Linked DNA regions of Coturnix japonica. The protein of the gene in region 2 purifies or fractionates together with the protein of the main gene of each other region. This does not show direct contact. Links are inferred from orthologs where the notes say so. Each region holds a gene or a part of one and is shown on either strand. Other genes may lie near its edges. The genes, in order: SPATA5L1 and CAPN2.

Region 1 (3,697 bases), on a different chromosome or scaffold from region 2:
AGCACTGTAATAATTTAGCATCTCAAGATAGGAGCAGCAAGCATAACACAATGAAATAATTATTCTGCTTCCCAGTAGCTGGTAAACCCTGCAGCAGTCCATTTCTGAATGTATAGCCAGAGGTGGCTCTTGCATATCATTCAACAATTGCCTTTTATTCTGTTTGAGACTGAGAGGGAAGCTCCAGAAGGGTGGCTTTGTGTTTTTTCTACCAAGGAAGACCAAATTAGCATTATGCGTTGCTTTCAAATTAATATATGCACTAAAGAGTTGGAGTATTGTGCTCCGCTGTTTTGTTGGTTGTCTTTGATCTTCAGTTCTGTCACCGAGAATTTCATCCCTTGTTTATGTGTTGACAGAGTGTGGAGTGGCCCATGAAATTTCCTCAGGCATTTGTGAGGATGGGCCTGTCTCGTCCAAAGGGTGTTCTTCTCTACGGGCCATCGGGCTGTGCCAAAACCACACTGGTGAAGGCTGTGGCCACAAGTTGTCACTGTTCCTTTCTCTCTGTAAGTGGTGCTGAACTGTTCTCACCTTATGTTGGAGATTCAGAGAAGATTTTATCTCAGGTACAGTTTCCAATTTGTATAAGGTGTAAAAATTCTTTTTGCTTGATTTTTTTTGTAAGTCAGGTCTGCATTTTTCTCTTGAAAAAATGGTAGTTAAAACTCTTATTTGATTAGGATTGATAACTAACTTAAGGTTTCCTGTATGTGTGGACAGGAAGTCTAGCCCTAACATGATGCCAGTTTTCAGCTTTGAAAATATTTCTACCCTCTTGTTTTCATTTCACTTCAGAATTTAATTCAGAGGCAGAATTTGCCTGTAGTGAATGGAAGCTGGAGAGGCTTCTTGGATGAATGTTTCTTTTTTGAGTGTGAATGAATTTAAGTCTTCATCCCTAAGTAAGACTATATGTAAACAGGTGGATTCACCTTATCTGAAAGAACGTGTGCATTAACATTTCATTTTAAAAATCAGGTTTTCCGCCAAGCAAGAGCAAATTCTCCAGCAATTATATTCCTGGATGAAATTGATTCTATCCTGGGATCTCGATCGCACAGTAAAACTGGCCGTGGGGTCTCAGAGCGGGTGCTGTCTGTTCTTCTCAATGAGTTGGATGGTGTTGGACTGAAAGTCACGGAAAGAAGAGGAAATAAACTACAGCTTGAGGAGAGATGTGAAGAACCAAGTGATGAGGAAAGACAGGTATTTATGTTCCTTTTTCTGTATGGTACATATGATACAAATGAGAAGTGCAGCCCAGCTGTTCAAAAATAAGATGGTGCTATTCTACTTTATCATCATTTCTGATTTTTATATAATGCTGTTTGAATGCTGCTCGCTGTTTTTTAGGTCTGTTTCTCAATGAAACTATTTGAACAAAATACCCACACAGGCTCATGAACAGAAATAGCTGGTGTACTTTTTGTGTCACAAAAATCATCTTGCTTGACATAGATTATTCTTTTAGGCTGCGTCATTCTTGCTGTTATATAGGTTCATTTCTTCATCTCAAGAAAACAAAGTCCTGATACTGAAAGGAAAATAATTACATACAGGGATGCATTTTCTATTCTCCCTCCCACTTTTGTCACTAATAGTTAACAAATGTCTTAACCCATCTCTGTTTTAACTGTGTTGCACTAATCCCTTCATACCATCTCTTTACTCAGCTGGAGTTTCAGGAGACTTTGAGCAGAGATATCATGGTAGTTGCTGCAACAAATAGACCAGATGTGTTGGATGATGCCTTGCTGCGCCCTGGAAGATTAGACAGAGTGATCTATATTCCACCTCCGGATCTAAAGGTGCTGTATGACAATCCATACCTGGTGTTAAATGGAGAGAGAAAAACTGCCGAGATGCAAAAAGAACAATCTAATAGCGTGTTTTAGAACTGAGAGACAGCTCACTGGAGATGAGTTACCGAACTCAAGGTACCCAAAAAAGGGAATGATTACATTTGTAATTTAAGTACCACAAAGATTTGAACTGATGATGTAGATACGCTACTCATAGAAAACAGACAACAACCTGGAGCACTTCTCTATTCATGAAAACAAGCTGTAGGAAGTATCATGTGAAGTTGGCTGCCCTTTCTTCAAACCCTTATTGTTCCCTGTAAATATTCAGTGGTATAAATGCTTGTCCTGAGCTTCCCTCCCCACCCTAAAACGTAAGAGATGACCCAAGGCAGGAGATATATGGAATCATATATCTCAAATAGTCCATTTTTATGAAGTAATGAGTAACTATGAATACTAGATGTGAATATGAGTTAACCATAAAAGTAAATATGATCTCCATTAATAATACTTCATTTACTCTTTCACCAAGAACTTGCTAATTCTGTTTTTGTATTTTTCTCTGTTTCCTTCATTTTAACATGAAATTGAGGACTGTTTTGGAGTGGGAGTAATTGTTTGCTTTGCTTTTTCTCATTGATACGTGCCACCTCACAGGGAAGGCTTTCCATCCTGAAAGTCTGCACAGAGAAAATTCCATTAGATACTGACGTGTCACTACAAGATCTAGCAGCACTAACAGACCTGTTCTCTGGGGCTGATATTGAAAATCTATGCAGGGAGGTAAGAAATATTTGTGGTTATCTGTGAAATAAAGTATAAAATGTGGCCTTTCAGTGGGAAAAAGAACTAATTTATATGTATTACTAAGCCATCTGCAGTACGGCTTATTCTGCATGTGGGGCATACACTGGTCTCATCACTCATAAATACCAGGAGTCCTACAGTGCTGTTGTCTGATTTTGTGTAACACAGTTCAGTTACTTCTGTGCAGCTTAAAACCAGGAAGCACTTGTTAATATTCCCTTTCTTTTTTTAAGGCTGCTCTGCTGGCGTTGCAGGAGAACGGACTTGAAGTGACCGCTGTAAAACACGAACACTTTGTAAAATCACTGCAGACTGTGAAGCCATCTTTAAGCATGAAAGACTTGGAATTCTATGAAAACATGTATAGTCGGGAATTAACTTGTTGAATCCTAAAGGAATTATGTGGCCTGAGTGTTAGTAAATGGATCATGGGACAGCTTTGCAGTCTGTCTTGTCTTCTGCTCTGTCACGCTGTATTTATTGCCATTTTCAATTTGTATGAAATACAGTAAAATTTCACTTTTGGAAAATCTGTGGTGTCAGTGATGAATGGATCTGTGGTTGCTGGGGTTGGGTCGCCAGAGGCTGAGGGGATGATTGAGATACAGTGAGGCTGTTTGTCGTTATAGCTGTGGCTGAGGGTCAGCTCTGTCTGTCCCATAGACGTTCAGTTTCAGGCCGTAGGGCTGCACTGCCGCAGCCCTCTGTGCTTCGCCCGCACCGCCCGCCAGGGGCCGCCCGCACCATTGGAGCTGCGATGCCGATGTGTGCGGGTTATGGGGTGCGGGCTGCGGGGCGTGTGGGCGGCACCGCCCGGCCCCATCGCGTATATAGGGGCGCAGAGCTCACTGCCCGCACCGCGGAGTGCTGCCCGGCCTGTCCCATCCGCCAGGTAACGGGGTCCCAGCGGTGCCGAGGAGCGGGGCTCTGACGGGACCATCTGCTGCCGGTCCGCAGGCAGGATGAGCGCGAGCTTCTTCCAGCTGCTGAGAAAGAAGAAAGAAGTAAGTGTGCCCGGCAGCACCGCTCGGGGCAGCGCAGCGCGGGGACAGCGGGGCCCGGCAATGCAGCGGGTATCGCTT
Region 2 (4,318 bases):
TTAAAGAGAGCTCGCATTTTTTGCTGTTCTGGATGTACAGGCTTCTAGGCACCCTATTATTCTGAAAATTGAGGGGCTATTACTATGCAGACCAGTGTGAGCTGTGACATGCCTTCAGTGTCTGTCCATAACATTATTCTTTAGAAGTCACTGCTCCAAATATGAAGCCTCACAATACAGTGGGGCTGGCCCAGGGGATGAGGAGCTGGGAAGAGCATTTCACAAGATGGCTGAGACCTTGCCAATACCCCTCACTGCCTTGGCTGGGCTTCGTGCTGGTGAGGAAACCTCCAGCCCCAAAGGGGAAAGCAAATCCCTTTGTTGTGTAACACCACCAGTGCTGCCAGCCTTCTCCTTTAGGAAGCCATCTCCATCTGGGGATGCTCTTGGGGAGGAGAGCAGCACGGCCCCCTGCTCCACTCCCTGGACCATTGGGCAGACTTTATCTTCCATCCCCACAATATCTGTGTGTTGTGTAGGGCAGAAAGAGTATCAGGAAGGCAAATGAAAAGAGAATCATGGAATCATTTGGGTTGGAAGGGACCCCAAAGTTCATCTGGTCCAACTGCCCTGCAATGAATGGCAACAGCTACAGCTCAGTCAGGTTCTCAGAGCCCTGTCCAGCCTGACCTAGAGTGTTTCCAGGGATGGGGCACCCACCATCTCTCTGGGCAACTTGTGTCAGTGCCTCACCACTCTCATTTGTTAAGAACTTCTTCCTTATACCAAATCTAAATCTCCCATCTTTTGGTTTGAAACCATTTCCCCTTGTCCTATCACAACAGTCCCTGCTAATGAGTCTGTCTCCTTCTATCTTATAGCCCCCCTTTAGAAGGGAGACAGATGCTGTGAGGTGTGTGGAGAGGCCCTCTTTTCTAGGCTAGTGAAAACCACTGCTTTAAACTGACATTAGTTTCCTTCTGTTGTGGCTGTTGAAAATGAGGTTAGTCTGATCTGTGGCGGCTGTACAGCTCTGATCCACTGTGTGGAGCCAAACCAGTGCCTTTGGAGCAGCTCTGTGGTTACGTGGCTCCCCGCAGCTTACATTACAGGGCTAAGACGGTGTTAATGAAAGGTTTCTCCCACTGATCAGCTGAAAATGTTTTTATTGCTTTTATTGCACCCAGTGCTGCTCACACACGTTGTCTGCAGACCCTTCACCGTCTTTGTTGCTCACTTTTGGATGCCCTATGACACAGTGATGTCTGTCTTATGTTGTGGCATAAGACCCAGTGCAGGAGGAGAGGCCGTGCAGCTCAGAGCAGTGGGACAAGCCCTCCCCTCCATCCAGCTGGAGGCATCCAGGCTGTGACTGGCCTCTGGGGGCTCCAGGGCACACTAGGAGTTCAGTCTAAACTAGGAGTTCAGTCCAACAGGACGGCTCCAAACGAGCCCTACGTGCTCTCAGAGCCCGGGATCCGCTGCCCCAAAAGCGGTGCCTCCCCGTTCCGCCGTGCAGTGCAGTGAGTCAGCCACGAAGCACGGCACCAACAGCCCGAGCTCTCGCAGTGCGGACAGCCCTCCCGTAGCGATGCCAGCGGCGCCGGGGCAGGATAGGCGGCACGGGGGGCTCCGCACGGACAGATGCCATCCTCGGACACGTGCGGGGCTTTGCTTCCCTGCAACCCCACGAGGGATTTTTGGTCGGGATGGGCCTCGCCGTTCCCCTCCCACGACCCGCGGGGTGCGACACGCCCGGGGCGGCCCCGTGACGGAGAGGCGTGTCTGCGGGGCGGCGGGGCGATGGCGGGGATGGCGGCGGCGCTGGCGAAGGAGCGAGCGGCGGCGGCGGGTGCGGGGCGGCACGAGCAGGCGGTGCCGTACCTGGGGCAGAACTTCGGGGCGCTGCGCAGGGAGTGCCTGCAGGACGGCCGCCTCTTCCAGGACCCCTCCTTCCCCGCCTGCCCCGCCGCTCTCGGTTATCGCGAGCTGGGGCCCAACTCGTACAAAACGAAGGGCGTCGTCTGGCTTAGACCTACGGTAGGTGCCCAGCTCGGGGTGCCCGAGATGCGCGGTGCACTCCGGCTCCATCCCCGCCGTTGTGTCTCTCTCGGCTCCCTCCTCCTCCTCTCGTAACTCGGGCTCGTTCTGTTCCAGGAGCTGTGTTCCTCCCCCCGGTTCATCTCCGGCGGAGCCACGCGCACCGACATCTGCCAAGGAGCGCTGGGTAAGCGCTGCGCCGTGCGGGTTCGCACTGTGCTGTACCCTCCCTTTCCCATCGTTTCGCCCCGTGTCATGTTGGAGCAGGAAGGATGCGGGCAGGTTTTCCATTTCCCGATTGCTGCCTGCCTTTGTGCGCTCCTCAGCCTGACTCACGGTTGCCGTTAGCAGCACGGCAGCGCATAAAGGATGTGCATGTTTTGGAGCGGGCCCAGAGGAGGATGCTCAGAGAACTGGAGCCCCGTTGCCATAGCTGAGCAGTCAGATGTTCTCCTCAGGTTATGTGGTACCTCCAAAGAGTATGAACTGAGTCACAGCCTGTATTCCTTTCCCTACCGAAACAATATTTGAATAGGAGGCTGTTAGCATTCAGGTTTGTTCTCAGCATGACTAACTGCTGCTGTGACTGGCCTCCCTATCTTCTTACCAATCTGTGTGAGGGAGTTGTCTTCTCTGTATCTTACTGATGAACTAATTCAATGCTATGGGGTTTTCCTCTGTAGCCGCTGAGTTACTAAGACCCTGCTTTGAATCTATGTTCTTTCTCACAGATGTTCTATGTAAATGCTTCTTTTCTTTGCTTTTGCCTCTTCTGACACTCAGCTTTGCACTGAGAGATTTACCTAAGCTTCCATTTACTTGAACTTCACTTGCTAACACTGATGTCACATCATGTTTTGTGAGGTTCCAAAGAACATTGCACTAGAATACATCAGGTGCTCTTGGAAATCTGCATTTTATATTACTGTATTGCTGTTTGTCCATAGAAAACTAGTGGCCTATTTATCACCCAAAAAGCTTGATCAGAAAGCAACAGGCCTGTGCCCACGCAGAGTTTTACAACTGGTGCTCACCCATTTGGAGTATCTTAGAGTACGTATCCAAAGCACATGCACCTGTCACTGCTGGGACACACTTCTTGGCATGAATCTCTAGCACAGAAAAGCTCACTGGGTTCTCAGGACAACAAAGCTCTTCCCTTTTGGCTTTGGGTTAGCCATTATTCTGCTTTACAATTGTTATTCAGAAGCTTTTTAGGACAAGTATTCAGAATCAATTTTGCAGTATCAGGTCTGCAGTTAATTATGGGCTTTGGTCCAGAGCTGCAGCAAATGGGATGTGGTGATTCATCACAGCAGAAGAACCAAAGCAAATACAGAGGAAGTTATTCACCCTTAACCACATTCTTTGGAGGGATGTCACCATGGTATCACAACACTGAGGTGTACAGGGCGCAGTATCTTTTATACGCTGTTTAATCACAGATGTATCCTCCTTGAATACAGAGTTGTGGAAAAGTGATAAAGTGAGTAGGATGAATGTAGAAAATGAGATGCATGGTTTTCCCACGCTGAAAACCACTCTGTTATGAGTGAGTTGGCACAGCCTCTTGTCTCCAACCAGAAAATTTCTGGGGGGGTCCCACATTATTAATATAAATACATTCAGCCACTGACATAGTTGGTTAGCCCAGCCTGGCTGTCAGCCCTTTCAAATATTCCCTATACAGAACCTATACAAGCCTGAGATGCCAGACCTGCTTTGTGCACATCTGCAAAGCCTTGCAGGGAGGGGGGATGTGTGTCAGCACTGCTCAGATGGGCAGGCTGTGGGCAGTCCAGCAGGGATGGAAAGGGAAGGGTGGGTGCTCTGTGGGACAGCGAGCTTCCTGCACACCCCTGCCACCATGACCAGCTTCTGAGAGAGAATCTTTGTTTTACTGTGTTGGTTTAGTTGGCTGCTTATAAAGTCTGGAAATGAAAGCTCACATACGGCCAAACCAAATGTACAGTCCTACAGATAAACTCAGTCTTTTGACTCTGTGATCAATGATAGGTTATTTGGCCTATGTGCTGATGCCTGATAACCCACCAGCCTGTGATTTTTGCACGTCTCATGCCTGATGCTAGTGTTAAGGGTGCTTTGAGATTGTTTGTTAGAAATTAAACATGACCCTAGTGGTCTTTTCCTACCATAATGATTCTATGATTCTCCTAAGGAGGAGTTCTGAAATGCCATTTCTTCCTATGGGTTGCAGGAGTCAGGGGGTCGCTGGGTCCTTACATCTGTAACCACTTAGTTAATGAGCTTAACTGGAAAGTGACCACTCTGTTAAAACAACATTTGTTTCTGAAAATAAATGCAATAGTTGCAGTCT

Evidence for each region.
Region 1: the proteins of CAPN2 (region 2) and SPATA5L1 purify together in Homo sapiens (co-immunoprecipitation; 3 studies listed by BioGRID and IntAct, with this or other methods). This does not show direct contact. The link is inferred for Coturnix japonica from reciprocal best matches to the Homo sapiens genes CAPN2 and AFG2B.

The regions. Positions count from the first base shown.
Region 1 is NC_029525.1:9,455,094-9,458,790, forward strand, and holds the end of SPATA5L1 (spermatogenesis-associated protein 5-like protein 1), read left to right. Parts: intron 1-359; coding exon 360-569; intron 570-981; coding exon 982-1,209; intron 1,210-1,676; coding exon 1,677-1,811; coding exon of another isoform or gene 1,812-1,898; exon of another isoform or gene 1,899-1,940; intron 1,941-2,465; coding exon 2,466-2,591; intron 2,592-2,848; coding exon 2,849-3,001; 3' UTR 3,002-3,140; downstream 3,141-3,697. Other genes in the region: C10H15orf48 (normal mucosa of esophagus-specific gene 1 protein), read left to right, coding at 3,578-3,619. UniProt on the Homo sapiens protein: ATP-dependent chaperone part of the 55LCC heterohexameric ATPase complex which is chromatin-associated and promotes replisome proteostasis to maintain replication fork progression and genome stability.
Region 2 is NC_029518.1:15,399,672-15,403,989, reverse strand, and holds the start of CAPN2 (calpain-2 catalytic subunit), read left to right. Parts: upstream 1-1,488; 5' UTR 1,489-1,584; coding exon 1,585-1,980; intron 1,981-2,097; coding exon 2,098-2,167; intron 2,168-4,318. UniProt on the Homo sapiens protein: Calcium-regulated non-lysosomal thiol-protease which catalyzes limited proteolysis of substrates involved in cytoskeletal remodeling and signal transduction. Proteolytically cleaves MYOC at 'Arg-226'.